7 linked regions of the Oryctolagus cuniculus genome follow. The protein of the gene in region 1 purifies or fractionates together with the protein of each later gene. This does not show direct contact. Links are inferred from orthologs where the notes say so. Each region holds a gene or a part of one and is shown in the gene's direction. Other genes may lie near its edges.

Region 1 (4,129 bases):
AAAGGGATTGTATAAAAAGCTTTATAAAGCTCAGTAATTGTGTTTTTATCACATGTCTACCTCCTGCCTTCTGCTTTACTTTTCTTCAGTTAAACTGGTTTCTAGAAGATTTGCTGAAATTGGGATCGTTTTAGCCCTTAAGCTCTGTGTAAATTTTATTGGAAAAAATTTATTGGCTACTTGTAGAGAATGTCAGTAAGAGTACTAGTGGTGGGGTGCTTGGCACCGGGTTAAGGCACTGCTTGGGACACACACACCCCGTATCAGGATGCCTGAATTCAAGTCCTGCTCCACTTCCAGTCCAGCCTCCTGCTATTGGGTTAGCCATTTCCTGGTGGGGTGGTTGTATGTCTTGTACCTGCACTGTGAATGCAGAAGCACTTGGGTTTCTGTGCCACCTGCTCACAGAAGTAGTGAAGTGAGCTGAGGCCCTACCCGGGGGTCTCACCTTTTCTCAGGTTCCGCTAGCCGGTGTGGCAGCAGAAAGGGTCCCAGGCAGAGTCCAGGGAGCTGCCTGAATTGTCCCCTCTTCGGTCGCCTCTCCCACAGTGGTAGCTGGGGTAGGGCAAGAGGGGTCTCGGAGCTTCTGCAGTCAGACCCTGTGATCAGGGGTGTGTGTAGAGTTGTTCACTTTACTAAGAGTGTGTCTGTCTGTTTAGCCGTATAGGTGAGGGGCTTGATCAGGCTCTGCCCTGTCTCACAGAACTCATTCTCACCAACAACAGCCTTATGGAACTGGTAAGTTGTATCTTGGGGAGGGGTTTAAGGGCTGCATACTTCTTAGAGAACATTTGCGAAGTCTAGAATATTTCTCCTTATCCTCCTTTGCTTAATTAATTCAGTGCCTGGGCCTTTCTGGGTGTCAGTGTTGCAGGGGTCTTTCCTCGCCCTGGCTTCCCTTTGATTCTGTTAGGGCGCCCTGACAGACGTGCCTAAAGCAAGTGTAGGCCAATTTATGACCTTTTTTCTGTATTGCTAGTGCTTTTGATGTCCAGGGAGGCTTCTCTTACCCTCCCTGGGTTGTAGAGGAGCCTGTATCATTTTCTGGAACTGTAGTCCCAGTGTGGTGGCGCTGACCAGGTGGCCTCTGCGTGGAGGTGTGCTGGAACGTGGCCTGCACACCGGGCCTCAAGGACGTGGAAACCAAGAGAGCAGGAGAGAGAGAATGCGGACATGGTGATTTCCGCCTGTTTTATGTTTTCAAAACTTACTCCGTGTGCTTCACTTTTACATAATTGAACTGATACCATATATGTTCTCGTTGTAACCTAAATTTCCCACTTGAACACTGGATGTCTGAGTCCATGTTGTCTAACTTGATTTGCGGTTATCCTGCCTTTGCCTCCCTTGCCTGTCTCCTGGAGTGGAATGGACTGTGTGTGCCTTTGCTGGTGCGTGGCGGGCCCATCACATCCTGGACATTCTCTCTAGAGTACGTGACCCCGCAGTGAGAATGCAGCGCCCATATGGGATGCCTGCACTGCAGGCAGCGGCTTTACCCGCTGTCCACAGTGCTGGCCTACTTGTGTGTGTTTTTAGCCCATCAGTCCCTAGTCATTCTGTTTCATATGATGTGTGTGTGTGTTAGAGAGAGACATGAAAGTTGCCACTCTTACGTCATTGCTTCCTGGGTCTGTTTCAGTGGGTTGCCAGTCCGAGCTGGAGAGCTGTCTGATGGTGTCTGTGACGTGCTTCCTGCCAGGCTGCGCTCTGAAATCTGCTCTGTTCCCCTCCCTCTTGCATCCGTACCTTGTTCCTCATTCTCTCGTGCCCGGTTTGCTCGGCTCGGATCTCCTCCTGCAGTTTCTCCTCAGGAGAGCGCTGTCCTGCAGGCACCCAGCATCTGGCTGGTCCAGACCCTGTGCTCACGCGCCGCGCAGGTCTCGCAGGGACCCAGCATCTGGCTGGTCCAGACCCTGTGCTCACGCGCCGCGCAGGTCTCGCAGGGACCCAGCATCTGGCTGGTCCAGACCCTGTGCTCACGCGCCGCGCAGGTCTCGCAGGGACCCAGCATCTGGCTGGTCCAGACCCTGTGCTCACGGGGCCGCGGGTCTTGCAGCTGCTGCTGTGAAGCTGAGTGCCTGTGGGCTGTCCTGGAGCGATCAAGTTCACGGCCGCCCCCTCCTCACCTTCTCTGCTGCTTCCTGCGCAAATGTGGTCGCCACGCAGGCCTTGTAGCTCGCGGTGCTGCTGCCCCTCACTCCTGTGTTAGGGTTCTTGGAGAACTATCTGTCATCTGGGTTGCTTGTAGGTATGGACCATAGGGGTTTTTGTTTTGCTGTCCTTACGGTACTGCGTTATGAGACAGTTTGGGAAGATCTAAAAACTGCCCTGCCTTCTGCCCATAATTTGGTCCTGTTTCCCCAGCTGTACAGCTTCGTGTCCTTGGAAATTCTTTGAAGAGCTTGGTGGGGGCAGGGGGTACTGCGGAGGTGAAAGGCGCTCCTCCACAGTGATAGGCCTGTGTGGGTCCCAGGCGTCTGGAGGCGCTAGAAGACAGATGGCTGTACTACCCTGTGCGAATCTCTTGCTCAGGGTTACCTCACCTTTGGCGGTTTCTCTCCTGAGTCATTGGAGTTTGCTGTAGGAAATCACCTTTCATGGCCTCTTCTGCCGTGGAGACAGAGCTGTTGATGCTGGATTTAAAGGAAGAAGCTCAGATGTACTCGGCGTATTCTGTAGGAGTTACTGAAGTGCCTGTGACGTCCTGGTTTTGGGTCAGGACTAGTGCAGTAGCAGTCTGAAAGACGATGCGGCTGCTCGCTCTGCCTGCCCTGCCCACGGCAGAACACTGGGAGCATGCGTGCTGTCCTTACCTTTGCTCTCCACCCCACAGGGTGACCTGGACCCCTTGGCCTCCCTCAGATCGCTGACGTACCTAAGGTATGGGAAGGATGTTTTTTAATTCATTCTATTATTTATTAAAATGTCATATTAAATTGGTAGTATCATAGGGGTATTTTTTAAAATTTATTTCACAGCACTTGATTAATTCAAAGAAATAATTTAGAATGGAATGACAGTTACACTAATCAAGAGATGTTACATTTGATATATTTTCTTTTAAATACTTTAAAAATTTTAACTGATACAAAAAATTGTACATATTTCTGGGGTGCTGTGTAATGTTTTTATATACATATACATTGTATAATGCTCAAATCAGAGCAAACACTTCGATATACTCAAACATCTATTATTTCTTTATGGTGAAAACATCCAAAAAATTTGTCCTCTCAACCTAAGAAAAAGATAGTGCATTAGTAGTATTATCTACAGCCACCCTGATGCAGTAATAGAATACCTGACTTTTTGTACTGTGTAACTATAACATAGTACTTGGGGTTTTTTTGTTTTTGTTTTTAAATATTTGTTTATTTGAAAGGGAGGGAGAGAGAGAGGTCTTCTATCTTCTGGTTTACTCCTCAAATGGCCATAACAGCCAGGGCTGGGCCAGGTCAAAGCCAGGAGCTTCATCCTGGTCTGCCACATATGTGCAAGGGCCCAAGCACTTGGGCTGTCTTCTGCTGCTTTCCCAGATGCATCAGCAGCAAGCTGGATCAGAAATGGAGCACCCTGGGACCCAGCGCCGTGGCATACCAGGTAAAGCCGCCATCTGTAGTGCCGGCATCCCATATGGGTGCCAGTTCGTATCCTGCCTGCTGCACTTTGGATCCAGCTTTCTGCTGTGGCCTGGGAAAGCAGTGAAAGATGACGCAAGACCTTGGGCCCCTGCACCCGTGTAGGAGACCCGGAAGAAGCTCCTGGCTCCTGGCTTTGGATTGGCTCAGGTCCAGCCATTGTAGCCATTTGAGGAGTGAACCAGAGTATGGAAGAGATCTCTCTCTCTGTCTCTCTCTCTCTCTCTCTGCCTCTCCTTCTCTCTCTCTCTCTGTAACTCTTTCAAATAAATAAATAAATCTTTAAAAAATAGAAATGGCGCATCCGGGAACCGGTGCCCATATGGGATGCCAGTGCCGCAGGCTGTGATTTACCGGCTGGCCCAGTGTGGTGTTGTCCATCAGCTTCTCCCCAGCCCTCCTTCACTGCCACCATCCCAGTCCCTGGCAGCCCTCATTCTGCGCTCAGCTTCTTTGAGACTGACTTGATCTTTAGATGATGTGTGAGG
Region 2 (4,129 bases), on another chromosome or scaffold:
TTTTTTTTTTCCCAAAGATTTATTTTATTTGAAAGTCAGAGTTACAGAGAGAGAAGGGAAGAGAGAAAGAGATCTTTATCTGTTGGTTCTCTTATATGACCACAACAGCCAGGGCCTGGGCCAGGCAGAAGCCAAAAGCTACATCCAGGTCTCCCACGTGGGTGCAGGGGCCCAAAGATGCTGCCATCTTCCCCGCGGTTTCCAAAACTCATTAGCAGGAAGCTGGATTGGAAATGGAGCAGCTGGGACTTGAACCATGCCCATATGGGAAGCTGGCATTGTAGGCAATGGCTTATGCTGTTAGGCCAGAACACTAGCCCTGTTTGTCATTCTTACGCATTAAGACTCATTTCTTTGTACAGCTTTTTATGACTCTAGTAGCCTTAACTTCTTTCATTCCTGAACTGTGTCATATTGCTTAGCATGATCATATACTGGTTTTGAGTAGTATCTTGTATAGCTTGAAAACCCCCTTTGGACAAGGCCTTTTGACAGTTTATCTTCTAAGAGCTTAGCATTCAACATTAACGTCCAGACATACTTGATTTCAAGAGTAGGGCTTTCTGTTCTAGTTGATCGGGAGGCTGCAGACTCAATTTCCACTGCCTTTCTCTTGGTTTTCAGTTGGCTAAGTGGAAGACTGCTGAGGAAGTGGCTGCCCTGATCCGATCTCTGCCTGTGGAGGAGCAGCCCAAGCAGATCATTGTCACCAGGAAAGGCATGCTGGACCCGTTGGAGGTAAAAGGGTGGACAGGGTAGACAAAGGCAGGCCTGAGGCTGAAGATCGTTTCTGATCTTGTCTTGATCTGGTCGTAGGTGCACTTGCTGGACTTCCCCAATATTGTGATCAAAGGATCAGAGCTGCAGCTCCCCTTCCAGGCTTGTCTCAAGGTGGAGAAGTTTGGGGATCTCATCCTTAAAGCCACTGAGCCGCAGATGGTTCTCTTCAACCTCTATGATGACTGGCTCAAGACTATCTCATCTTACACGGTAGGAAGACGGCCACGTTGCGAGTGGGTTTGTGGTCAGGAAAGTATTCTCTGCCTGATAGTTTCCTCACAGGCCGCTGATTTGGGCCATTCTCATAGTTTCAGTCTGTGGATGGAGCAGGAACTCTGCTGCCTTACGAGGGCTTGGAACTTTAGAGTTTGAAGTCAGTTCTTGGGTTTCCTGCAAGCACAGGATGGAGACATTGAGAAAAGGGGAGAACCTCAGTTAGCGGACCTCCGCCGTCCCCGCCCACTCGCAAACACTCTTCTGAATTTCTTCCCAGGCTTTCTCCCGTCTCATCCTGATTCTGCGTGCTCTGCATGTGAACAATGACCGGGCGAAGGTGATCCTGAAGCCAGATAAGACTACAATTACAGAGCCGCACCACATCTGGCCCACTCTGACTGATGAGGAGTGGATCAAGGTGGAGGTGCAGCTCAAGGATCTCATCCTGGCTGACTACGGCAAGAAGAACAAGTGAGCCATTGTGATGGGGAGGCCAATGGGTGTCCACAAAGCTGAAGTGGGGGGCTCAGTATTGGGGTTCTGTGGCTTTGGAACACTTGGCTCATAAGTTTCTCAAGAAATTGTCTTAGAGATACTCACAGAGGAGAAGCAAGCAGTGTCTTCAAATAGTACAGGAAGTCTGCATGTCTCAGGGCTTCGCTCTGATTGTGGCTGTTGTGTTGTGTTTTTGGAGTAACTGGATCTTTTATGATTTCAATTCAGTTATGGAATTAGCAAATTCATAATGTTTATCAGAGAAAAAATTTCCTTTGGGACATCAGAAAGAAGCACATAGGCAATGACAATTCAAGTCACCTTTACAGGCCATAACAAAAATGAGAGCAAATGTTGATGATGAGTTGATCCTAGCAACATTTTTACTATTTCAAAGACTACCCAGAAAAGCTTTGCACTCAAACACCACATCATGTAAACCAGGTATTCATGCCGCTTTTGAATTCTTTTTAACAGTGTATAACCACATGGTTTTTGCTTTTTTTTTTTTTTTTTTTTTTTTTTTGATGATTGCAATTTTTTTTTGAAAGTCCAAGTTACAGAAAGAGAGGCACACACACACACTCACACACACACACATACACATATCATCCACTTGCTGGTTAACTCCCCACCCAAATACCCTCAACAGCCTGGGCTGGGCCAGGCTGAAGCCAGAAGCTCAATCAGGTCTCCCCCATGGATAGCAGGGACCAACTACTTGAGTAATCACCCTGGTCTCCCAGAGTGCACATTAGCAGGAACCAGAATTGCAAGTGGAGCATGGACTCAAACTCAGGCATTTCAGTATGGAATGCACACCTCCCAGGCAGCACCTTAACTGTGGCACCAGATGCCTGCCCCAACCCCTTTCTTTTTCACAATATACTAAATCTCCGCTTATTCACTTCCCAGCAGTATAATTTGTGGCTCAAAGAGTAATAAATACATTTTTTGGTTCTTGCTACAAATTGCATGTGCCGTGCTAAAAAAAATGGATTGGGGCTAGTGGTGTGATATAGTGGGTAAAGCTGCTGTCTGTAGCACTGGCCTCCCATATGTGCTGGTTCAAGTCCTGGCTGCTCTGCTTCCACTCCAGCTCTCTGCTCTCTGGGAAAGCAGTGGAAGATGGCCCAAGTCCTCGGGCCCCTGCACCTGCATGGGGGACCTGGAAGGAACTCCTGGCTCCTGGCTTCAGATCAGCCCAGCTATGGCTGTTGTGGCCATTTGGGGAGTGAACTAGTGGATGGAAGATCTCTCTCTCTCTTCTCTGTCTCTCTGTGACTTTGCTTTTCAAATAAATCTTTTAAAAAATATATGGATCACTTTATAGTATATTCATGACTCCTTTCTGACTGGTATTGGAAAGAAAAGAAATTATCTGATGTAGCAGTCAGTTAACTTTTTTTTTTAAGATTTATTTATTTATTTCAAAGTCCAAGTTACACAGAGAGAGAAGGAGAGGCAGAGAGAAAGGTCTTCCATTCATTGGTTCACTCCCCAGATGGCTACAAAGACCAGAAGTGGGCCGATCCAAAGCCAGGAGCTTCTTGCGGGTCTCCCATGCAGGTGCAGGGGCCCAAGGACTTGGGCCATCTAATATTGCTTTCCCAGGCCATAGCAGGGAGCTGGGACTCAAACTGGCGCCCATATGGGATGCCAGCACTGCAGGCAGTAGCTTTACCGGCCCCTGGTGTTCCTTCTTAATAGTTTCCATAGGATTGAAAGATGTGGTATATTAACTCCCCTGTTGTGAAGCAGAAACTGGTATGTTTTGTAGAACAGAGACTAGACGAACTGGAATAATTAGAATTAAGAAACAATTTTTCTCAGGGTTTATCTAATGTTCTTATTTACAATTCCACTTTCCAGCCTTGGAATCTTTTGGATTATAAGTGTAATCTCCCTCTTTTACATATGGGAAACTGAGTAAAGAGGAGTGACAATCCCAGCACAAGTCAGAATTAAAGATGGGAGAATAATTAAGTTCTGTAACTTTGCTTCCGACCCTAAGTCATCCTGTTGGCCATTGTTTCTCAGTGGAGGAAATCCTGCCATTCTGAGGAGGGCTCATCTTTATTGTAATAAACTACAGGAGATTCTAACTTCCAGACCTTGAGTACCATCACTGATAGCACATACCTGTCCCACCTCTCCTTGTCATTGTGACGTATCAAAAATGTCTGTAGATCTCCAGTGTTCCCGAGGGTGACTGGTATTACCACCTCTGGGGAAGAACCAGTGTTTCAGGGGTGCTGAGGAAAAGTGGGGTTCTGGGTGCTGAGTGCTGAAAGGTACACTTGCAGGGCGCAGTTCTACTTGGGATGTGACATAGAAGGAGGAGTGCATCTCCATCTCAGGCCTCCTCTCGAAGGGGCACTTGAGGAGTCTGGGATGAAAACAGGCACCTCCGTGTTGTGCCCAGTTGACACTCTTGCCGTTGAAGCAGGGATCCTTGTTAACGCACGCTGTCCCCACAGTGTGAACGTGGCATCGCTGACGCAGTCCGAAATTCGCGACATCATCCTGGGGATGGAGATCTCCGCTCCGTCCCAGCAGCGGCAGCAGATAGCGGAGATTGAGAAGCAGACTAAGGAGCAGTCACAGCTGACTGCAACGCAGACTCGCACGGTCAACA
Region 3 (3,993 bases), on another chromosome or scaffold:
CTCTGTCTCTCTCTGTAACTCTGCCTCTCAAATAAATAAATAAATAAAATCTTTTAGGGGAAAAAAAAAGGGAGAGAGAGAGGTCTTCCTGCCACTGGTTCACTCCTAAGCTGGCTGCAACAGCTGGGGCTGAATCGGGAAGAAGCCAGTAACCATGAGCTGCTTCTGGTCTGCCACATGGGTCTAAGGGCCCAAGCACTTGGGCCATTTTCTGCTGCTTTCTCAGGCCTGTTAGCAGGAAGCCGGACTGGAAGTGGAATAGCAGGGACTAGAACCAATATGGGATGTGTATAATGGCAAGTCTACCTACTGTAATTTTTTTTTTTTTTTTTAAAGATTGTTCATTTGAAGGGCAGTTAGGCAGAGAGAGAGGTCTTCCATCTGCTGGTTCACTCCCCAGATGACCACAAAAGCCAGAGCTACACCGTTCTGAAGCTAGGGGCCAAGAGCTTCCTCTGAGTCTCCCACGCGGGTGCAGGGGCCAAAGGATGTGGGCCATCTTCTCCTGCTTTCCCAGGCCATAGTAGAGAGCTGGATCAGAAGTAGAGCAGCCAGAACTCAAACCAGTGCCAATATGGGATGCCAGCACTTGCTGCGCCACAGCACCAGCCCTGCCCATTGTAATTTTAATTGCAGGCTCTTGCCACCCCCAAAGGAAATGTTTTGAATCACAGCTTTTATGATTTATTAATTGTGTTAAGTTTACATATGTTCTTGAAAATTCTGACATGCCACCTTTCCATTGTTCTAGGGTCTGTTTCACCCAGCCCGGAAAGTCAGAGATGTGTATTGGAAAATTTACAACTCCATCTACATTGGTTCACAAGATGCTCTCATAGCACATTACCCAAGAATCTACAATGATGATAAGAACACTTACATTCGTTATGAACTTGACTATATCTTATAATTGTTTATTTTGTGTTTAATGCACAACTGTTTCACACCTTAAACTTGCTTCAATTTGGTGATATAAACTTTTAAACATTGCAGATCAGTATAGAACTGGTCATAGAAGAAGAGCTAGAAATCCAGTAGCATGATTTTTAAATAACCTGTCTTTGTTTTTGATGTTAAACAGTAAATGCCAGTAGTGACCAAGAACACAGTAATTACGCGTACTATACTGGAGGGATTTCATTTTTAATTCATCTTTATGAAGATTTAGAATTCATTCCTTGTGTTTAAAGGGAATGTTTAATTGAGAAATAAACATTTGTGTACAAAAGCTAATTTGTGTGTGTTTTTTGAACATGACTTGTAAAATGCAGAACTTTGATAAAAGCATTGGTTTGTGCAGAATAAATGGCTTACTGTCACCTGGTTTATAGAAATTAGCAGAATACAAATTAAATAAAGTGATGGCATCTTTGTCAAGATTCTGTTGTTCTGTTGGTGATGACAGCAAGAAGAGTAGCTTTGGGGATGATCCCCCCAAACTCAAAACCATTCCATCACTTTAGAAAAATAGCACCTTTGCTGAACTGTCTCAAGTAATATTTTGTACTTACATAGCACCTTTCATCTCTTGATTTTGCAAAATGCTTTTCAAGCATGGTTAAAGGAAGTGACTTGGGTAATGTCCAGTTCTTGAGAGCTCTGTTTAGAAAGTGGGGAGGGTGTGATCTTTACTTGAGAATTGCTTTGTGTATTGGGAGTGAGGCTAGTAACTAAGTAATGCTAATAGAGTAAGACAATCTTGGCTTTTTTCCCATGTCACAAGCAGCCACAATGTATTCAGTAATAACTTTTGAGCCCCTTCCATATTCCTGCCACTGTGCTTTAACTCTAGAGGCTGTAAAGATACCTGTGACCTGCCCTTTGCCCTCAAGTCCTGGTAAAGTGTAATTGAAAAGAGTAGTCACATCTCATTACAGGTTCTCTGTATACCATGTTATGGAGTGGCAGCAGCTAAAATGTCTGGGTTTGCCTCATTTGTATTTAGTAATTAAATGATAAATTGATCTACCTAAATGTACAGCATAAATTAAATTGCCATTTAATTTTAGAGGAACCAAGCATTGAAGCAGTACTTACTGGGTTTTTTTTTTTGGCAATTGTGTTAAGTATATTTTCAACTTAATTATATAGCCCAGATTTCTTAGTTTTAGACCTTTTACTACCCAAGCTGTTTTGTTTTGTGTCTCTCTTAGTCCTTCTGTGAATTCTAAGGAGAAAAGAGATTGTGCAAGCACTTTTAGTGTGTGATTACTCTGCTACCATAGGTTTGTGCCTCCTGTTAACACAGAGCTTTTAGAAGTTTTGGATGAGAAATAGCTTATAATTGGCTTACTTTTGCAAAATTAATAATTGAGCATTAGTTGAGTTTCCTAACAAATTTTCAACTAATTTAAGCAGAAATTCTGAAACCATCTTTGTATTCTTGGAGATTTTGTAGTGGTTCCCTCCATGCAACTTTAAATCATCTTATTCTGTATAGTTGATGTCAAATGACATTAAATACTGACATAATTATTGTAATTATTTTAAATCCAAAATTAGATATTAAGTCATTTTTGAGAAAAATCAGTTATATTTTCTTTTAACTACTTAAAACACATTGTCAGGTTGCTTGGCTCCTTGCAGTTTATGGAAAACATGCTTTGTTGTGGCAGTGTGGAACAAAGCAGACTGTGATACCTTTATGTGACTTCACTGAAGCAAATCATGTGAGGATAAGAAGAGGGAAATGCTGAAGGCTCTGAACTAAAAATTGGGACCAAATAGAGGCTCACAGATGTTTGGATTATTTTATGTGCTTAGTATTGTATAAGGAAAGCATTTTGTGAAATAATTACTTGAAAGATGCTACGTGAAGTTTAGCTATCTTCTCAAAGACTTTCTTTTGCACTTTGTTTTGGTGTTTGCTTAAGCCAAACTTAAGCAGGAAGATATTAATGTTCTTAAGGGGACAGAGGGTGGGTTTTCTGTGGGCTTTTGTTGTCTTTTTTTCTGTGGGCCATTGCCCTCTTATGGAATTAATCTCTGGCTGTTTGATTTTTTTTCATATTGTATTTTTTAAATTTGTTGTACGGTGCCCTGTGAGCATCAAGTACCCACCAGATGAATAAAAAGTTGTTATATCTAAAGTCTTAGTAGACCAATTTGTAATCTTAGTTGACTCTATTGCTGTCATACTACACTCTGTTGTGGTTGAGCTGAGCTCTTTGGGGGTTGTTTTCCAAACAAGAGAACCTAATGCTGAAATCCAAGGAAACTTTTTCTTTATAAAATAAACTGAGAAAAAGATGTAGCCAAATAGGTTCAGTTGTTTGGCTCTTTGGTTCCTAGCAGCTCTTAATCCCTCCAAGCAAAAGAGGCAAAATTACAACTGGGCTGGGTTTTCTTAACTTTGGCATCCTTGACATTTTGGGCCAGAATTTTGTTGGGAACTGCCCTGTACATGGCACAGTGTTGAGTGGTGTCCCAGACCTCCACTCAGCAGATGCCAGTAGCACCCCTGCCCCCTAGCCCAAGTTCTGATGACGCCAAATGCCTACAGGTGTGTTCTCATGTGCCTTGGAGGGAAAGCTCTTTAGGTTGAGAACCACTGAGCAAACTCAGAACACTGTTTAAGTGGGACTTACATGCCTGATCAAATGAAAGGATAGGTAAGGCAATATTTAGGAACCAGTTTCCTTGGAAGTAACTATGTAACTACCAAATACTTAAAACAGTTACCTTGGGTAAAACTACTCATACATCCTGGGGAAAGCAGGCTGTGGAAATGTGGAAGATGATCCCTCAGGTCTTCAAGACATCTTGTTACACGGTTGGAGCCAGATGAGCGGCTCAGAGGCAGGAATGCTGGTCTCCATGTCTAGGCTCACCTACAGATCAGCAGCACAGGGGCCATTCGGTATGGAAAGGGAAGGAAGGCAGAGCATGACCTTTTCCTCAAAAATTGGATAGGAAACAGTGGGTTTGAATGTGGCTTGGTAGACTTTGGGTTTGCAAGACAGTCAACATCTGTAGGAGGAGGGCAGCTAGTGT
Region 4 (4,129 bases), on another chromosome or scaffold:
AAAAAAAGTGACAGTAAATGGTTAAAGAAAGGGAAGATCTAAATGGCAGTGGTGGGGCTGGCACTGTGGCATAGTGGGTAAAGACATTGCCTACAGTGGTAGCATCCCATATGGGTGCCAGCTTGAGTCCCAGCTGCTCCACTTCTGATGCAGCTCCCTGCTAATGTGCCTGGGAAAGCTGTGAAAGATGGCCCAAGTCCTTGGGCCCTGCACTGATGTGGAAGACCCAGCATGGCTGTTGAAGCCATTTGGGGAACGAACAAGTGGGAGGAAGATTTCTCTTTCTGTAACTCTGCCTTTCAAATAAATAAATAAATAAACCTTTAAAAGAGAGGCCCAGCTTCTATAGTGTGGACATTTGCTGTTTACGTGACAACTAGCTGTAGAAGTTGGTTGTTACTTGTAGGTCTTAATACCTGCTATTTGCATCTCTTTAATTGTTCTTAAACCTAACAGAGTTCCTTTCTGAATGCTGTGTAGTTGTAGCCACCTATCAATGGAAAATGGTTTGTGATGACTGTGACTAATGACATCTTAGGTTGATTGAAATCAGCTGATTCCAAGCTATGACGTTATTGCCCTATTTGTAAATTCATCAAATCATGTTATTTGCAAAGCTGACAAAAGTGCTAGCTTTGAACTGACTGCTTTGATTTTTATTTTATTTCTGAAGATTCATTTATATATTTGAAATAGTTGCAGAGAGAGACAGTGAAATCTTCCATCTGCTGGTTCACTCTCCAGTTGGCCACAACTGCTGAGGCTAGGCCAGGCCAAAGCTAGGAGCCAGGAGCTTCTCTTCCTGTACTCCCATATGGGTGGCAGGGAACCCAAGCACTTGAACCAACTTCCACTACTTTCCCAGCTGCATTAACAGCTGAATCAGAAGTGGAGAATTGTACATTCAGGCTACATTGTGGAGTGCTTAAATGTTAGGCAATAAAATTGCCTATTGGATGCTGGCCCTGCAGTCGGTGGCTAAACCCACTGTGCACAATACTGGCCCCTAGAGTCTGCTTCTTAATTGTGGCTTTGGATGGTTGGAAAAAGGGAGGGCATTTTTTTGTTCTTGTTGTCTCCCAAGAAATTTCTCCTCCAGCAGTGTCCTGACAGTAAACTGTGTTTCATGACTTGGGAAAAGCTTTTGCACAAAAATTTATAAAAATACTGAATTTCCATTCTATACCGTAAAAAGGTAATTATGCCTTAGATATACCCCGCTAACATTAATATTACTTTAATACTTTCAGACCAGATCATCAGATGTTCACTCATCTGGATCTTCAGATGCACATGTGAGTATAAAAGGCAGCCTTTGACTTTTTTTTCTTTAAAAATTTGATTTTTATTGGTATATATTATCCTTGTAGTTAAAAAAATGACTTATTTATTTGAGAGATTAGAGACACACAGAGGAGAAATGGAAAAAGACAGCGATCCTCTGGTTCACTCCCCTTGTGCCTGTAACTGGCCACTGTAGGGGGCTGAAACTGGGAACTCAGTCCAGGTTTCCCACGTGAGCAACAGGGACCCAGCTGCTTGGGAGCATAGCTGGAACTTGAACTCAGGTAATCCAACCAATATGAATGTCTGTGTCCCAAGTAGCATCTTAACTGTTAGAGCAAATTCTAACCCCATGCCTATGATTTTAATCTTTTATGTTTTATCTTTTTCTTTTATCTTTTTTGCTATGAACCTCTACTTGTGAATCAGCCCTCTCAAAGTTAGACATTTAGTATGTATATTCCTTTTTTTTTTTCTTCACAGGCAGAGTGGACAGTGAGAGAGAGAGAGACAGAGAGAAAGGTCTTCCTTTGCCATTGATTCACCCTCCAATGGCCGCTGCGGCCAGCGCACCGCGCTGATCCGATGGCAGGAGCCGGGTACTTATCCTGGTCTCCCATGAGGTGCAGGGCCCAAGGACTTGGGCCATCCTCCACTGTACTCCTGGGCCACAGCAGAGAGCTGGCCTGGAAGAGGGGCAACCAGGACAGAATCCGGCGCCCCGACCAGGACTAGAATCTGGTGTACTGGCGCCGCAAGGCGGAGGATTAGCCTATTGAGCTGCGGTGCTGGCCGATGTATATTCCCTTTTATAAATTATGTTTTAAAATTCTGTATGCACATAGATGTATATACTTACACATTCGCTGTGTAAGTGTAGTATAGACCCTTTTTCACTGCACGATATACCTGTTATATGTCCTGACAAGTCAGCTGGCATAGCTCTAATCTGTTCTTTCTAATGGCATCATACTATTCCACTGTGGGAACATAAACTTACTTATTAAGCTATTTTTCTGTTAATGGGCATAACTTTATTGAAAGCTTTTTGACTCTTGAGTAATACTGCAATATTATAACAACATTTGGAGTGTGGTCTGTGGACCTCCAGGAGATCACTGAGAATCTTTCAGGGAGTCTTGAGTTCAAAACTATTTTGTGGTAATACTAAGGCATTATTTACCTTTTTCACTGTGTTGACAGTCATACTATGGTACAAAAGCAGTTGGTGGGTAAACTTTTGACACTTCAGTATGAATCAAGGCAGTGATGCCAAAAAGTACTAGTAGTCATTATAATCTTCTATACTAGGAATAGTAAAAATATGCTAGTTACACTTAGCAAGTTCCTAGTGAAGCAGTAAAGTATTAAGAAATCTTGACTTGAGTACAGACAGGTCTTTTTATATTTTGTGATGAAACAAGTAGTACTTTTTTTTTGACAGGCAGAGTGGACAGTGAGAGAGAGAGACAGAGAGAAAGGTCTTCCTTTTCTGTTGGTGCACCCTCCAATGGCCGCAGCGGTCGGCGCACCGCACTGACCGAAGCCAGTAGCCAGGTGCTTCTCTTGGTCTCCTATGGGGTGCAGGGCCCAAGCACTTGGGCCATCCTCCACCGCACTCCCGGGCCACAGCAGAGAGCTGGCCTGGAAGAGGGACAACCGGGACAGAATCCGGCACCCCGACCAGGACTAGAACCTGGTGTGCCGGCGCCGCAGGCGGAGGATTAGCCTAGTGAGCCGCGGTGCCGGCCTTCAAGATAACTTTTACTAATGTGCGCTTTTTTCTTGAAGAAAAGTACTTGTATAGTTGTTGAGTTGAGAATGAAACTAGTTGCTTTTTTCATGAAATACTTTTTTTGCTTGAAGGAACATCTGACAAATTTTATTCAGGCTTGAGAATGTGGCAGGCATTTTATTGAAAATGAAGAATGTGGACATGTTACTCCAAGAACTGTTTCCAATATAAATGCGAGCTTTCAAGTATAAGTTAGAATTGTTGAAACCTTTCTGTGTCCTTAAGGACTTTTCTGATGAAGTCAACGGTTGCATTAAAGGATGTGGTTTTTGATGGTGAATGATGAGATTTTTGTCAGTGTTTGGACACTTGGATTATTTCTAGTTTTCAGTATTATATGTGACTTTAAAATTTTTTTTTACATTTCTTGAAGATGGATGCATCTGGACCCTCAGATAGTGATATGCCAAGTCGGACACGGCCTAAGAGCCCAAGAAAACATAATTATAGGAATGAAAGTACTCGTGAGAACCTTTGTGATTCTCCTCATCAGAATGTCTCCAGAGTGAGTATTGGTAAAGATAAAATTAATGATTTTAATTTGTCCTTGAAGTCTAAATTTATTTTAAAAATAGGAGCATTTTGGATGTAAAATGAGTTCACTGGATTTATCTCTGCCTGCCCCCCCCCCCCCCCCCTTTGGACTTTAATGAACCAAGTAAATAATTACCAGTCACAGATGTCTAAACACAGTTTTTTTTTGAAAGGCAGAGAAAGGTCTAGCATCCACTGGTTCACTCTCCAAGTGGCTGCAATGGCTGGAGCTGGGCCGGACTGAAGCCAGGAGCCTGGAATTCCATCTGAGTCTTTCATGTCGGTGGCAGAGGCCTAACCACTTGGGGCAGCTTCTGCTGCTTTCCCAGATATGTTAGGGCGCTAGATCGGAATTGGAGCAGCCGGACTCCAACCAGCACTCACATGGGAAGATGGCATCTCAGGTGGCCACTTAAGCTGCTGTGCCACAGTCCTTTGCTCTCTGAGCGCTTATTGTCTTTCTCTGAGAAGCAAAGAGTGAGAGAGTACTATTCATCCTGTAGGTACAATTACCTG
Region 5 (4,711 bases), on another chromosome or scaffold:
ACTGGGTTGAGCAAACCCACAAAGATCACAGCACAGCAGGGCGGCCCACACTGGCCTTCCCTACATGGTTCCTGGACGTGTTCTGTTAGATCTGAATACTGTTTGCAAGAAAGGGCTTGGAAAACAGCAGTGCTGTCATTAGTTGCTGAACACATAGGGAGATCAAGTACACATTGGGAGTTATGAGAAAAATATTTGACTAAATACACAGAATATAAAGTATAGTCATTCTAAAGACACTACATTGTGGGGCTGGTGCTGTGGCATAGTAGGCTAAGCCTCTGCCTGTGGTGCCAGCATCACATATGGGCTCTGGTTCTTGTCCCTGCTGCTCCTCTTCCAGTCCAGCTCTCTGCTATGGCCTGGGAAAGCAATAGAAGATGGGTCCCTGCACCCGCGTGGAAGACCCGGAAGAAGCTCCTGGCTCCTGCTTTCTGATCGGCCCAGCTCCCACCATTGCAGCCATTTGGGGAGTGAACCAGTGGATGGAAGACCTCTCTTGCCCTCTCTGTCTGTAAAGCTACCTCTCAAAAAATAAATTTAAAAAAAATCTTAAAAATATCCTGTTGTATCTGAATAATTTTTATGCCAACAAATGACATCAGCATTATTAAAAACACCTAAAAAGTTCCCATTTCAAGATAAAAAAATTATCAGAACATTCTGTAGTTTTTCCAGAAGACGCAAATGGAGAAATGAAAAAACCTAAAGAGCAAGGCACTATATAAAGACCCAGGACTTTCCTCATCCATTAACTAAATATTTTCATATTTCCTAGGACTGGCGTCAAAGCGATGTTCTGAAATGGGAAAGATGTCTGAGTAACTCGGAAGTGGGGTGGCGGAGAGCTGGACAACCCTTATCCAAGGTTAGGTTTTGGTTTGTCACAGCTAATCCTGCCCCTCCGATTGCTGAAGCCGGTGTTGCTGGCTCCACTTTTCAGACGAGCACTCTGAGATTCAGCACGGGTATTACCCACGCTGACGAGACAGCCAAGATTCCGGCCCAACTCGAGTCCGGCTCCCTTAATACCAGCGCCCATAATGGTCTTTGTTATTAATTCACACAGACTGAATGGCGATGGATGAAAGACGCTGAGGGGACATCGGTGGGGGCTTCCGGGACAGCCGCTGCGCCCCTCCCCGGGGGCAGGTGGAGGCGCTGCCCTCCTTGGAATCGCAGCGGCGCTTTTTGGGAACAGTCGTCTGTCAGACCCTGCACTCCGCTGAGGACCTCACTTCTTAGCAGAACCCCACTGGGTGGGGGCTATTATTACTACTCTGTATTACAGGTTGGGAAACTGAGCCGCAGATAAGCTGTTCTCTTCCTCCTGCGTACTCGACTAGCGAAACGCTCAATAAAGCGCTAGTTCGCGACGCTTTCTCCGGACCGGCTACTCTGCAAGGCCACACACAACCCGTCTGCACCCCCACCGCCGAGTGACGTCACGATGACCAACCCCACCGCGACGCCGGGCCGGCCGCCGCTGCGGATGTCTCGCGAGAGCCATGGCTTCCTCCAGCCTGACTTGGACATGCGCGCGGCGCACGGCGCTACGGCCACAGCAGTTTGATGGTTTTCTGTCAGTCTGTACACTAGAGCTTTGAGAAAGCACTTCTAACCTTTCAGCCTCCCGAGATATCGCGAGACTTGCTATTCTGCCACCGCCCCCCCCGCCACCTCCTTGCGCCTGCGCAGATCTCTTCAAAGCAGAAGGTCGCGCTTGGAGGAAGTGGCGGCTTTGGGTCCCGTGACCGGAGCGCCGTTACTACTTTTCTGAAGCTCCTCTCGGCCGCTTGCCGAGACCACCTGTCGCCAAGATGCCTCGAATTATGATCAAGGGCGGCGTGTGGAGAAATACCGAGGTGAGTCTCTTTTCCCGCCGTCCGCTGCCCTCCGCCCCCTCCGGCAGCTTGTGCGCACGCGCGCGCGCGGGGGCCGGGGAGCGGACGAGGATGCCCTGCGGGGTCTGCGTGGGGTGGGCCGGGCCGCGCAGCGCCAGGGCCGACGACCCTCGGCGCCTCAGCGCTGTTCCCCGCCAGGGGTGACGGGAGCGCCCCAAGGACCGGCGGCTCGGCTCCGAGCTCACCGTCAGGCACTTGTTAGGCCCTTAGCGAACATTTGTTGAGTCGAGGCCGCGCCGCCCCGGCCCCCTTTCCCCGAGGTCCCCACTGGGTGGCAGGAGGGGTGGGACATCCAGGAGAGGTGATCTTCCGGGACGCTACCCCCCCTCAGCTCGCGGCTGTCTCTGGCACCCCAAAACTAAAGAACTTGGTGCAGCCACAACTTTGTTTCTTCGCTGACTTCTTGCAGAGAGGGGAAGCAGCTTGCATACCGAGTTCTCGGCGCCCGTTTCTCCTGCATCCGTCGGTTTATCCGTCAGCCAGGCACAGCCTGTGCGCGCTCTCCCGACAGATGCCAAGGCCTGTCTCTCTCTTAGCTTCCCGTCTCTCCGCCTTGGCATGGCTTGAAGCCAGATAGGACAGACTGCTGCGGGTAGTGTCGTAGTGGATCGTGCCATCTGAGAGCCGGAGAGCAGTAGAAAGGGAGCAAGACAGAAATGAGATTTGAGTGCGTTTCGTGTCGAGTGCCCTGGATCGATCAGTTTCTGAGCACGGCTTATCTCGTGTCTTTTATTACCTCTGTGCCTCCTTGCGGTATCCTCGACCCGCTTGGCATCCTCCTGACCTGGTTCAGAAGCCCTTGGCGGCCAAATCTTCGCCTGTTCAGCCTGTGAGCGTTGGTAGCACCCCCCTGTGGGCCCACGGTGCCTGTCATCCACTTGTTGTCGGCTTGCTTTGACTTTTGCCAGTGTCACATCCTTGGGAGTGATGCTGGCAGGTTTCTCCATTTCTCCAAGCCTTAGATTCCTCATGTTTCTGTGGGGATTAAGTGAGCTGCCACATTTGGGACATTTGGAACAGTCGGGAACACAGTAGCCTTTCAGCCAGTGCTAGGCACCTCTTACCTCTCCAGACAGCACTGGGGGAGGGGAGGGGAACAGGTCCTGCTCTTCCTGGAGCACAGGAGAGTAACCAGCGTGAAGTAGTAGGTTGCTTGGCAGATGTTTGTGGAATGCATCTCGGCGGGTACGCGGGACGTAGCTGTGATCTAAGTATTAGAGGTGCAGCACCACGTGACAGATGAAGGCAGTGCAAGTCCCCTCCCTTGTGCTGAGGGAACTAGGCTGTTTGAATGGAGAGGAGTTGACTTGTGAGGGAGAGACCCGTGAAAAAATCAAGTAGTAGCAGGATTCCTGTGCTACGGTCAAATCTGCTGACAGATTTCTACAGTTGGCTGTGGAACAGAGCCTGCAAGTGAAATGTCTCAAGTGCATTCACATCTGGCTCCATCGTCCTCCGCGCCAGTGGCTTGGCTTGCCAGGCTGCTCTGGGATTGGTACATTCCGTGTTTGGGTGGCAGCCCTGGTGAAATAGTATCTAGAGTCTGGGGGAGACTGGAGAGAGATGACTTGGGAGGGGTTGTGGAGAGAAATATTTGAATCTCAGGTTAGAACTGAGATATGGTCTAATCTGAGATGTGGATTCTTGGGTCGTGGTGGGGCGGATGGGGCTGGGGAGGAAAGGCCGTGCTTGAACTGGAGGCAGGAAGTGTGAATTGGAGAGTGGTTTCATCTGAGTCCCAACTTGCTTTTTGAGGCCTGGATGTGTCCTATTCGATTCTCTCCCCAAGTATACAAGACCTGGTGCAAGGCAAGTGTTCAGGAAGTGTTTTCTGAGTGAAGGTGTAAATGAATGAGCTGTGCCTGCTTGAAGAATGACAGCCACATATTGGAGAATACTTTTTGTTAATCTCTGTCCGAAAGTAGGGTTGCTCAGAGGTGGTTGTTCCCACACACAATTGGGTGTGTGTTTATAAGGAACAGTAAGATGTCCTAAGGAATTTCTTAATTTCTTGCATTTTGCTGGTTGCTTACTGTTTATCATTATGGTCAGTGAGGTTTTTTGTGTGTTTAAAAATTCTTATTTCTTAAGTACATTTGAAATATTTATTTTTTTAAAAGATTTATTTTTTATTTGTTTGAAAGAGCGATGGGGGTAGGGAGGTGGCAGGGAGAAGAGATCTTCCATTTGCTGGTTCACGCTAGGCCAGGAGCCAGGAACTCCATCTAGGTCTCCCATGTGGGTGGCAGGGGCCCAAGCACTGGGGCTGTCTTGCACTGCCTTCTGAGGCACATTTAGCAGGGTGCTGGATTAGAAGTGGAGCAGGTGGGACCTGAACTGATGCTCCAAGATACAAGATTCCAGCATTGCAAATAGAGGCTTAATCTGCTATACCACAATGCTGGCCACTTATGTCTGAAAAGTGGAGTGACAGAGATCTTCCATTCACTGGTTCATTCTTGAAATGATCATAACAGCCAGGGCTGGATCATGATGAAGCCAAGAGCTAAGAACTCCATCCAGATCTCCCACTTGGATGGCAGAGACCCAGGTACTTGAGCCTTCATCCACTGCTTTCCCAGGCTCATTAACAAGAAGCTGGATTGGAAGTGGAACAGCTGGAGATTTTTTTTAAAGGTTTTGTTTATTTGAGGGGTAGAGTTACAGACAGAGAAAAAGGTCTTCCATCTGCCGGCTCACTCTGCAAATAGCTGCAACAGCAGAGCTGAGCTGATTGATCCAAAGCCAGGAGCCAGGAGCTTCTTCTGGGTCTCCCATGCGGTTGGGGGGGGGCCCAAGCACTTGGG
Region 6 (4,064 bases), on another chromosome or scaffold:
GAAGAACATTCTATGCAAAGGTCTGGTCGGATCAGTCCTAATGTGGACAAGTAAAGGAACCTGATCATTGACATAAAGGGTAGAGTCAGCTTCCTGAGGACCACGTGCGTCTCCAGAAGAATACTGAGAACTCTCGAGAAGAAAGGGGAGTAGAAGAGGTTGTGAGGACTGCTCACAAATATGCCTCATAGCTTTGCTACTCAAGTTGTGATCCATGGACTAGGGAAATCTTCAACTGAAGGCTTCTGGAAATGCAGAATTTCAGGCCCTACAACAACTGAACCAGAATTTTCATCTTCAAATTTCCTCAATGGGGCTGGTGGTGCGACATAGCGGGTAAAGCCGCCTCTACAACACCAGCATCCCACATGGGTGCCAGTTCAAGTCCCGGCTTGCTCCACTTCTGATCCAGCTCCCTGCTAAGGCACCTGGGAAAGCAGCGGAAGAGGGCCTAAGTGCTTGGGCCTCTGCACCCTTGTAGGAGACCTGGAGGAAGCTCTGGGCTCCTGGCTTCAGCCTGGCTCTGCCTTGGCTGCTGCAGCCACTTGGGGAAAAACGTATGGTTGGAAGATCTCTGACTCTCCCTCTTTCTCTGTTAACTCTGATTTTCAAAATAAATAAATCTTTATTTAAAAAATTCCTTGGGTCTGTCCTGTGCACATTAAAGTTTGATGAGCATTGCCTTACAACATCCTAGAGTTCTGGTGATCATGGATGAAGTTCAATCTAGATTTACAAATTAAAACCATAGTTTTGGAGGAGATCGCCCAGGCTAAAGGAGAAAGTTTTCCTAAAAAGGACTACAGCTGTAAGCCCTGAAGCATCCTGACACGTGTAAAGACTCAGAGGCCTAGACAGAACAGCTAGTGGGTTAGGGAGAAACCCAGAGTGCTTGGCCCGGGAAACAAAGGTAGAAGGTATTTCAAAACTGAAGTGTGTTGAATGTTACTGAGACGTTGAGTACGAGGAAAACAGACAACTGTGTCTCGGAAACATAATTCTGCAATTTTCTTCAGATTCATCAGTAATGCTAAATAAGGTTCTTGGTGTTGGACCAGAATTCGCAATAACCTGTGTTTCTCTCAAAACCGCTCTTTGTTCACGGAGGAAGTTGTATTTGGTGCTTCGCCAACGCGCCCCGCCGTGCCGAAGCGTGATGGCGACTGCTAATTGGATTTAACTGTTCAAATCGCCCTCTCCTTAGACAGACAGTCACGCCCTCAGCCTCTGCAATGCATACCTCCGGCAGCGAGGGGTCGCAGTCGCGCTCCCCTTGGCCGGAAGGCAAAGTGGCCCAGCAAGGCCTCGGCGTTTCCGCCGCACGTCCACAGTGCTCCGCGCGCTCGCTACGTCCGGAGCCCGTGGAGTAGGCGTTTCCGGCCATTCATACGCCTAGCCGGTCCTCGGTAGTTGCATTCTCTGCGTTATCGAGCAGAAAGGACGATTGCGCCGCTACGATGAAGCTCGTGAGGTGAGGAGGTGGCCGAGCGAGGCGGGGGCTGAGCCGTAAGGGTTCGGGCCGGGCTCGGGAAGCTGAGCGGTCCCGAGGCCGGAGGCGGGAAAGCCGCGTGCGCGCGGCCTGCTAACGGCCTGCGGCGCCCGCCGCGCGCGCCCCATCTTGGCCGCGGCTCCGGGTCGTGATCGATCGTTCTTCAGCCTCGCCTGTCTTCCAAGAGGCGGGCTTGAAGACCGAGCTGCGTCTTGTCACCTGCTGCCTTGGGGGCCTTGAAGGTGGCTTGGTCTCGCGTTAGTTACCCATTCTCATTGTGCGCATGGAGCTCCCGTGGGTCTGAAGACGGAGTTTATCATGGAAATAAGGAAGCCTACTTGCAGCATGTTTTAGATCAGAGAGGAACTAGTTTGCAAGTTGTGATTTTAAAGTTTTTGGTCTCTCTCGATGCTCCCTAGACTTTTGATCAGAAAAATCTCCCACTATGAGGCAAAAGCCAATACTTTTTGATTGTGGCTGGTTACACATAGCTGGTAATTCCTCCGGTTTCCTTTCTGCGATTGTGTTGCTTAGTTGAGCCTACTAAAGGATTGTTTATTGATGTTTGTAATTAGTTCCAAACTGCTTGCAGATAGGTTAGATTTTGGTGCTTTACATGGAGGCTGAGCCTGCAGCCCAGCGGTGGTTTCTGGTACTAAGCTAGCGGTTGGAAGTATTTGACGAGTTTCTTTCCTCCCAAGTCGAGACTGGCAGTGCTGACCAGTTATGGGGCACCTGTTACAGTTACTGTGTGCCGATAATAGAATTTTCTTAAAGGCAAGAATCCCTGCCTTGGAACTTTTTGTTTAGTGCTGAAGACAGATAAGTGGTTAACATCTAGTATGTTTGAAATACAGTTATACTTTATGGGTGGAGTTTGTAGAGAAGACATTTAATGTGAATGTTCATTCTTATTTGAATTATAACTTTGTATAACAGTCTCAGAACTCAGTGTATTTTTATATTTCTCCATACCTGCTCGTTTGAATCTTAATGAATTTTTTTTTTTTTTTTTTTTTTTTTTTTTTGTCACTGAAGATTCAGTTTGTCTCATTTGAAAATAGCACATGTTCTAGCAGAATTTCCCTGTAATTTTTAACGAGTGTGCTGAATCCCGTTCTGTGTCTTAGGTACTAGGTAGATACAAACCCTCTTGTGTCTTGCCTCAAGAAAATGGTTTGACTAATTAGTTTGTGTATGCTCATTGTATTTATTTCTGCATCTCAGTTGGTGGCATTATCATCCTTATCCTGTCACCCTAGCCAAAACCAGGGAGACAAACTTCACTTTCTTAAGTGAAGTTCAGTGTGTATTTCCTGAGAGTGGAAAAATTATACACTAGTGTAACCCAAACCCCTGCCATGGTAAAATACCAAAACCTCAAGAAGTTCCCTTAAGCTATCTCAAGTCAACTTTTAGCTCCACATCCACCAAAGCAATGTGTTTCTTCCACTGTAGTTTTGCCTGCAGTAGAATTTATTCTTTGGAATAAAAAAAGACTATATGTCTTTTTTATGTTTGCTTAAGATTTCTTAGCATGCTCCTGAGATTCATCAACATTTAGTTTTGCTTTTTGTTACTTTAAAGATTTGTTTATTTAAAACAAGGCAGAGCAACACAGAGAAGTGCCTCCCAACTGCTGATTCGCTTTCTAAGTGCCACAACAGCCCAGGCTGGGCCAACTGAAACCAGGAGCCAGGGATTCTGTCTGGGTCTCACACGTGGGTGACAGGGGCCCCAAACACTCTGGCCATCTTGGGTTGTTTTCCTAGGTGCATTAGCAGAGAGCTGGATCAGAAGTAGAGCAGCTGGTACAACAACCTGCACTCTGTTACGGAATATAGGAAGCTGTCCCAAGTAAAGGGTTAACCTGCTGAGTGCCGCCCACCCCCAGTATTTAAAAAAAAAAATTTAATTGTAGGATAGTAGTCCAATTGTATGTTTTAAAATGATATGTTTTGTTTAAAGCTGTTTTGAACATCCTTATGCAAATCTCTGTATACATAGCTTTGATTTTTCTTGGGTAAATACTTAGGAGTAGACATGCAGAATCCTACATAGGGTATACTTAGGAGCAGACATGCAGAATTCTACATAGGGTAAGGATATGTTTAACTTCATAAGAAATGCCCTACCATTTTTCAAAGTGCTTGTACCATTTTAAACTTCTAATAGCAATATGTTAGACTTCCAATTGCTCCACTTCCTCACCAGCATTTGTTGTTGTCAATCTGCTTAATTTTATGGATTTTAGTGGGTATATGGTAGTGTTTCCTTAAGTTTTAGTTTGTATTTTTCTAATGACTAATGCTTATTAGCTATTTGCACATCTGTTGTGATGTTATGTTTGAATCTGTTGTTTATTTTGATGGTTTCTTTTTATTACTGGGTTGTTACAATTCTGTATATCCTGGATACCAGTCCTTTGTCATATACGTATGTATATATATTTTTAAGATTTATTTTTTATTTATTTGAAAGAGAGCGAGATCTTCATTCGCTGGTTCACTTCCCAACTGACCACAACAGCTAGGGCTGGGTCAGGCTGAAGCCAGGAGCCCAGAGCGTCTGCTGG
Region 7 (4,842 bases), on another chromosome or scaffold:
AAAGAAACTACTGTCCCTCATTCTCCAGTCCAGAAACACCACTTCAGGCCTAGCGAGACCAAGGCCTTGCCCCTCTGCTGTGTTCCGGAGTTGTGGAGGAGTTCAAGTGGTGCTCCAGGGCGCTGGCGTGCGGCGCTAGGGCTCACATCAGCAAGCCCGGACTCTCCCTGTGTGGTCCTAGCGCTGATTTCCCTTGCGGGCTAAGTTAAAAATTCAAAATTCCGAGCTGGCATGTGGCGCAGGCGTTGAGCTGCTGGCCGCACTGCCATCATCCCAGAGAACCAGTTCCAGTCGCACTGCTCTGCGTCCCATCCAGCTCCCTGCTGATGTGCCTGGAAAAGCAACAGAAAGTGGCCCAAGCACTCAGCCCCGGCCGCTCACGTTGGAGACCCAGAGGGAGTTCCTGGCTCCGTGCTTTGGCCTGGCCATTGCGGTCACTTGGGGATTAGGGGATGGAAGACCTCCGACTCTTCCTCTGGAACTCAAATCTTTTTTTCAAGAAAATTCCTCACACACAGAGGGGCGGCAGATGCGTAATGGCGCTTCATGCCATTAGCGGCTGGGCTTCCGGAGATGACCAGTCCAAGGTCACTGTCCCTTGGCCCGGCCAGAGGTAAACCCGAGCCCGAAAAGCCCAGCCTTACAGCTCTGCTCTGAGGGGGCTTGCCGATTCTCGGGCTCAGAAAAATGGACTTTTTTTTTTTTTTTTTTTTTTTTACTTGAAAGGCAGTTAGAGAGAACGCCAGCTTTCCGTCTGCTGGGTCACTGCCCGCGGCCCAGGCCGGAGCCAGGAGCCTCATCTGGGTCTCCAGCGTGGGTGCAGGGGCGCACCCGCCGCGGCTGCTTTCCCAGGCCCACCGGCAGGGGCTGATGGAAAGTGGAGCCGCCGGCACGGGTTACCCGCCACGCCACGACGGCCGCAAAGATGGACCTGTAAAAAGGACCCGGCAATGGCACAGTGAATGATTAAGGGCGTTTCCACGAGGTATGATACATCTGGGTTCTGTATCAAACAACCGCCTTCCTGGCTGGTGCCCTCTGGTTCCAGAAAACTCTTCCTCAGGGCACCTCAAACGCCGCAGCTGCTCACGGCGGGTGAGGGCCGCCAGAACCCAACGCGGTGGGTGTTCGGCCTTTGCTTCCCGGCCTGGACCTTGTGTCGGGCTCGGGGGCGCCAGGCGTACCCGATATCTGGGGTCTGAGCACGAAAGGCTACGTGCTGTGGGGCCGCGGGCTCGCCCGGGAGGCTACGGTCACCTGGAGGCAGCAACCCTCACAAGGCTCCCGCGCTCGGCTCCCAACCTGAGGAAACAAAATGGCGACCGCGCCCCTGGACGAAGCTACATACGGGTCCCGCCGCATGCCTGAACTACAACTTCCAGAAAGCTCTGGCCGAAGGCGGGAGGCCGAGAGGCGCTAAGACGTCGCCAGGCCTTGTGCCCCGCCCCCGCCCGGGCGGTGAGCCTCGGAGACTGTCATTTCGGTCCTGCTCCCACCCCTTACTCGCGTTGGCCGACGGGACTCGTAGTCTCCCGGCAATGAAACTGACTCTCTCTTACGCCTCTAGAAACTCTACTTCCCGAAGCGAGCCCGGCGCCTGCGCACAAGGTCGCAGAGCGTACTACGGTTCCCAGCGGGCCCTGCGGCGCGGCGGCGTGCTGACGCACTTGGTCGGTCGTGCTGACGTGCAGCGCGGCCCAGGCGGGGTGCGAGTGGCGCAGTCGGAGCCCGCTGCGGCCCCTGAGGAAGCGAGGAGGCGTCGGCGTCGGGTGAGGCGGGCGGACCGGCGAGGCGCGGCGAGGCGGCGGCTCCAGGCCCCGAGGGACTCGGGCGCTCGGGCAGCGGCAAGACCTCTCCCCCTCGGAGGCGGCGGGCGGAGGCGGCGGCGGCGGCGGGTGAGAGGGCGAGGGAGCGCGCGAGCCGGGTGGGGGAGGGGCGGCGGCCGCGGCGCGAGGCCGCGGCGCGCGGAGAACGGCCCCGGCCGCCGCACGCGCACGCGCGCGCGCGCTCGCCGCCCTCAGCTCGCGCGGACGCCCTGGCTCGCTGGGCTCCCCTCCCCCTCGCGCGGTGCCCGTCGCGCGCGGGCTCCGGCGCGCCTCTCCCCGCCCCTCCCCCATAGCAACGGCGCGCGCCGCCGCCCGCGCTCGGGTTCGCGCGCGTCCTCGGCGACCGGGGAGCGCGCGCCGCTCGGCTCCTCGGCTCCCCCCACATGGGCGGCCGAGCCGGCCTCTTGGCTGCGGCTGCCCCTTTCGGCGGCGGCGACGGGAGCCCGCTCTCGGACCGTGTCCCCTGTGGCTCGTTCCGGTCGCGCCCGGGGCCCGGTGGACCGGTGTGGAGCCTTCCAGACTGCGGGGCGCCGCGCAGCCCCCTCCCCCATCCCTCCGGGCCGAAAATAGGCCTTCCTGGCCCCGGCGGCGCGGGGAGGGCCTTGACCTCGGTGGCCCGGATTTAGAGCGTTTGGACTCGCTAGTATCAGCCCTGCGGTCGGTAGGGGAGAAAAAAGCCGCAGAGCGTGGAAAGGAAAGGGAGAAGGAAAAAAATTGAGTCTACGTGAGTAAGGTAGACAACGTGGTGGGTTGGTTTGTTTTTTTCCCTTGTGGCTTTTCCACATTTCCCCAGAAGTTGCGTTAAAACTACGGAGGCTGCTTTTGGAGCCCGTGGTTGGGAGGAAAATGCCGGACTGTTTGGAGTTGCGGCTGCGCGTTTCAGGCCCCCCCGTGGCACACGACTCTGGGCGGCCTCCGTGTCCGCCTGCTCTCGCTGTGATTGCGGCTCGCACATCCCAGCTGTCGGTTCTGTCGGCTTCGCTCTTCGGACGATGGGCTCCGTCGGCTGCCGAGCTTTCTGGGTTCCCTCGCGTGTCCCCAGGCACTGCAGTGCGCCGGCGTGGAGCTGCTTCTGCTTCTGCTTCTCTGCCGCCTCCCGCAGTTCGGTCCATTTTTTAACTGAATGTCTGAATATTGTGCGATACTCTCTGATCTCATTGTTTTGGCGTTCTGATCACTGTCCAGCACAGGTAGTTCTCTTAGTCTTCCTTGGCAAAGTAACTTTGTAAGCCCTCTGTGGACCTCATTTTAAGAATAATTATTTTATCGGTTTTAGTGGTTTGCGTTGACATGGTTCCTCCTCACTGAAGTGTCTATAGCTCTGCTTTGGATGCCGTGGAGGTTTTCTTTCTTTCTTTCTTTTTCTTTTTTTATTGTTGATTCTCTACATCTTTCGAACAATGTGACAGTATCTTTGGCTTAGCAGCTACTGGTTTTCCCTCCTTAGGGAGTGGGAGGGTTTTTGTGTGAGGTGGCAGAGAAGTGTGGGTGCTTTTCTGAGGCTGAGGAATTAGTTGCAGGTCAGAAGCATTCTGCAAGGGAAGCAAAAATTCAGTGGGCTGTGCAGGTGCAAAGAGGGGCTTTTAGAGTGGGGCGAATTGGTGCTGGAAGGTGAACGCGAGGGTTGCTTTCTTGGGCTGCAGAGAAGTAGATCACTGTTCTGTTCTGCGTGTCTCCTTGCCTTTCATAGATTGAGCCTCGTGTCATCCGTTGACTCTGGTTTTGTCATCTTTTTTTGCTTTCGGTTCGTAGGACTGCTGCCTTTGGGAAGGGACCTGGTCTGTGGCTGCGCGGTGTGCAGGCTGCTGGGCTTCCTTCCCATACAGCGTCTTGGGTTTCTGTAGGCATTTGTGTTCTGCTTCTTTATTTCAGAGTTTTCTAAATGCAGCCTTCCATGCAGTGCCTCTCATTTCCCTCCGCGTTGATTAACTTCTCCATGTTGCCTTTTTCTAGGGTTTTTCCTGAGGTTAGTTTTCCCACTATCTTGGAGAGAATGGGTTGGGGAAGCTTTGTGTTTGAGAGGTCTGCAGAAGTTCATGGAAAACATAGATGATGAAAAACTTGCATGGATTTCAATTGTTTTGCGCAAAAGTTTTCAAAAAACTACTTGAGAGACAGAGCTTCCTGACAGACAGATGTTGCATTTGCTGGTTTGTTCCCCAAAGGACAGCAACAGCTGGGGCAGGGCCAGGCCAAAGCCATGGGCATGAAACTAAATCCAAGCCTCCCGGATGGGTTTCAGGGACCCAAGTGCTTGAGCCATCACCTGCTGGCTCCAGGGTGCGCATTAGCAGGGAGCTGGAACTGGAAACAGGAATTGCTGAGACTGGAACTAGGCATTCCCATACGGGATGCAGGTGTCAAAAATATGTCCCTAAGTTTTAATTTTATTTTTTGTGAACATTTGGAAGTACCCTTGTATTGCAGGAGAAAGAATCAGAGTATGTATAGCCAAGAACTGTTAACTGGAAAAACTGGGACTTGTGGGTTCTTCAGTCGTGCTGGGGTTTAGATAAGTTGAGAGAATGGAATGTGGTGAGAGGTGTGGGGTTGTTAGCACATGAGAAGGGCTTGCGAGAGAAAACAGAAGTTCAGTACAGGAGATTGGATAGGGAAAGCCAGCAGTTGGGCTTTAATAAAAGTGAGATATGGAGCGAGAAGATTTTTTAAGTTCAGAACAAGGAATCTAGAGAAATTATGGAGACAGTAGAAATAAAAGACGCTGATGTGTTTAAATAGAGCATTGAGTTAAAGACATAACATGTAACAGGAGCTAGTGAGCCTTGGAGGAGCTGCAAAGCATGTGGTAAATACTATCAGGAAGGAAATTGAAGAAGTAAACTAAGAAGATAGTTGATGGGAGCTATAAATATTTGGAATCAAGAAAATGGCTCTTTCCCTGGGAGGTGAAGTGGAGTAAGATGATGTATCCAAAGTTCGTATTTGTTTCTTATGTGCATGCTAGCTGTTAGTCTGAGTGTGAGGCTGTACCTACCACTTTGGATTTAACTAACTA

The links.
Region 2: the proteins of SNRPA1 (region 1) and PRPF8 fractionate together in Homo sapiens (co-fractionation; 3 studies listed by BioGRID, with this or other methods). This does not show direct contact. The link is inferred for Oryctolagus cuniculus from reciprocal best matches to the Homo sapiens genes SNRPA1 and PRPF8.
Region 3: the proteins of SNRPA1 (region 1) and SF3B1 purify together in Homo sapiens (affinity purification with mass spectrometry; 8 studies listed by BioGRID and IntAct, counting the BioPlex papers as one, with this or other methods). This does not show direct contact. The link is inferred for Oryctolagus cuniculus from reciprocal best matches to the Homo sapiens genes SNRPA1 and SF3B1.
Region 4: the proteins of SNRPA1 (region 1) and U2SURP purify together in Homo sapiens (affinity purification with mass spectrometry; 5 studies listed by BioGRID and IntAct, with this or other methods). This does not show direct contact. The link is inferred for Oryctolagus cuniculus from reciprocal best matches to the Homo sapiens genes SNRPA1 and U2SURP.
Region 5: the proteins of SNRPA1 (region 1) and CDC5L purify together in Homo sapiens (affinity purification with mass spectrometry; 5 studies listed by BioGRID and IntAct, counting the BioPlex papers as one, with this or other methods). This does not show direct contact. The link is inferred for Oryctolagus cuniculus from reciprocal best matches to the Homo sapiens genes SNRPA1 and CDC5L.
Region 6: the proteins of SNRPA1 (region 1) and SNRPD1 purify together in Homo sapiens (affinity purification with mass spectrometry; 4 studies listed by BioGRID and IntAct, counting the BioPlex papers as one, with this or other methods). This does not show direct contact. The link is inferred for Oryctolagus cuniculus from reciprocal best matches to the Homo sapiens genes SNRPA1 and SNRPD1.
Region 7: the proteins of SNRPA1 (region 1) and SRRM2 fractionate together in Homo sapiens (co-fractionation; 3 studies listed by BioGRID, with this or other methods). This does not show direct contact. The link is inferred for Oryctolagus cuniculus from reciprocal best matches to the Homo sapiens genes SNRPA1 and SRRM2.

The regions. Positions count from the first base shown.
Region 1 is NC_091443.1:10,486,537-10,490,665, reverse strand, and holds part of SNRPA1 (U2 small nuclear ribonucleoprotein A'), read left to right. Parts: intron 1-659; coding exon 660-738; intron 739-2,836; coding exon 2,837-2,883; intron 2,884-4,129. UniProt on the Homo sapiens protein: Involved in pre-mRNA splicing as component of the spliceosome. Associated with sn-RNP U2, where it contributes to the binding of stem loop IV of U2 snRNA.
Region 2 is NC_091448.1:47,179,978-47,184,106, reverse strand, and holds part of PRPF8 (pre-mRNA-processing-splicing factor 8), read left to right. Parts: intron 1-624; coding exon 625-738; intron 739-816; coding exon 817-990; intron 991-1,273; coding exon 1,274-1,467; intron 1,468-3,971; coding exon 3,972-4,129. UniProt on the Homo sapiens protein: Plays a role in pre-mRNA splicing as core component of precatalytic, catalytic and postcatalytic spliceosomal complexes, both of the predominant U2-type spliceosome and the minor U12-type spliceosome.
Region 3 is NC_091434.1:42,863,733-42,867,725, forward strand, and holds the end of SF3B1 (splicing factor 3B subunit 1), read left to right. Parts: intron 1-751; coding exon 752-910; 3' UTR 911-3,089; downstream 3,090-3,993. UniProt on the Homo sapiens protein: Component of the 17S U2 SnRNP complex of the spliceosome, a large ribonucleoprotein complex that removes introns from transcribed pre-mRNAs.
Region 4 is NC_091435.1:138,826,180-138,830,308, reverse strand, and holds part of U2SURP (U2 snRNP-associated SURP motif-containing protein), read left to right. Parts: intron 1-1,250; coding exon 1,251-1,295; intron 1,296-3,452; coding exon 3,453-3,584; intron 3,585-4,129.
Region 5 is NC_091436.1:125,737,407-125,742,117, reverse strand, and holds the start of CDC5L (cell division cycle 5-like protein), read left to right. Parts: upstream 1-1,482; 5' UTR 1,483-1,820; coding exon 1,821-1,865; intron 1,866-4,711.
Region 6 is NC_091441.1:56,034,661-56,038,724, reverse strand, and holds the start of SNRPD1 (small nuclear ribonucleoprotein Sm D1), read left to right. Parts: upstream 1-1,264; 5' UTR 1,265-1,457; coding exon 1,458-1,471; intron 1,472-1,557; exon of another isoform or gene 1,558-1,731; intron 1,732-4,064. UniProt on the Homo sapiens protein: Plays a role in pre-mRNA splicing as a core component of the spliceosomal U1, U2, U4 and U5 small nuclear ribonucleoproteins (snRNPs), the building blocks of the spliceosome.
Region 7 is NC_091450.1:32,566,288-32,571,129, reverse strand, and holds the start of SRRM2 (serine/arginine repetitive matrix protein 2), read left to right. Parts: upstream 1-1,677; 5' UTR 1,678-1,895; intron 1,896-2,151; exon of another isoform or gene 2,152-2,559; intron 2,560-4,842. UniProt on the Homo sapiens protein: Required for pre-mRNA splicing as component of the spliceosome. As a component of the minor spliceosome, involved in the splicing of U12-type introns in pre-mRNAs.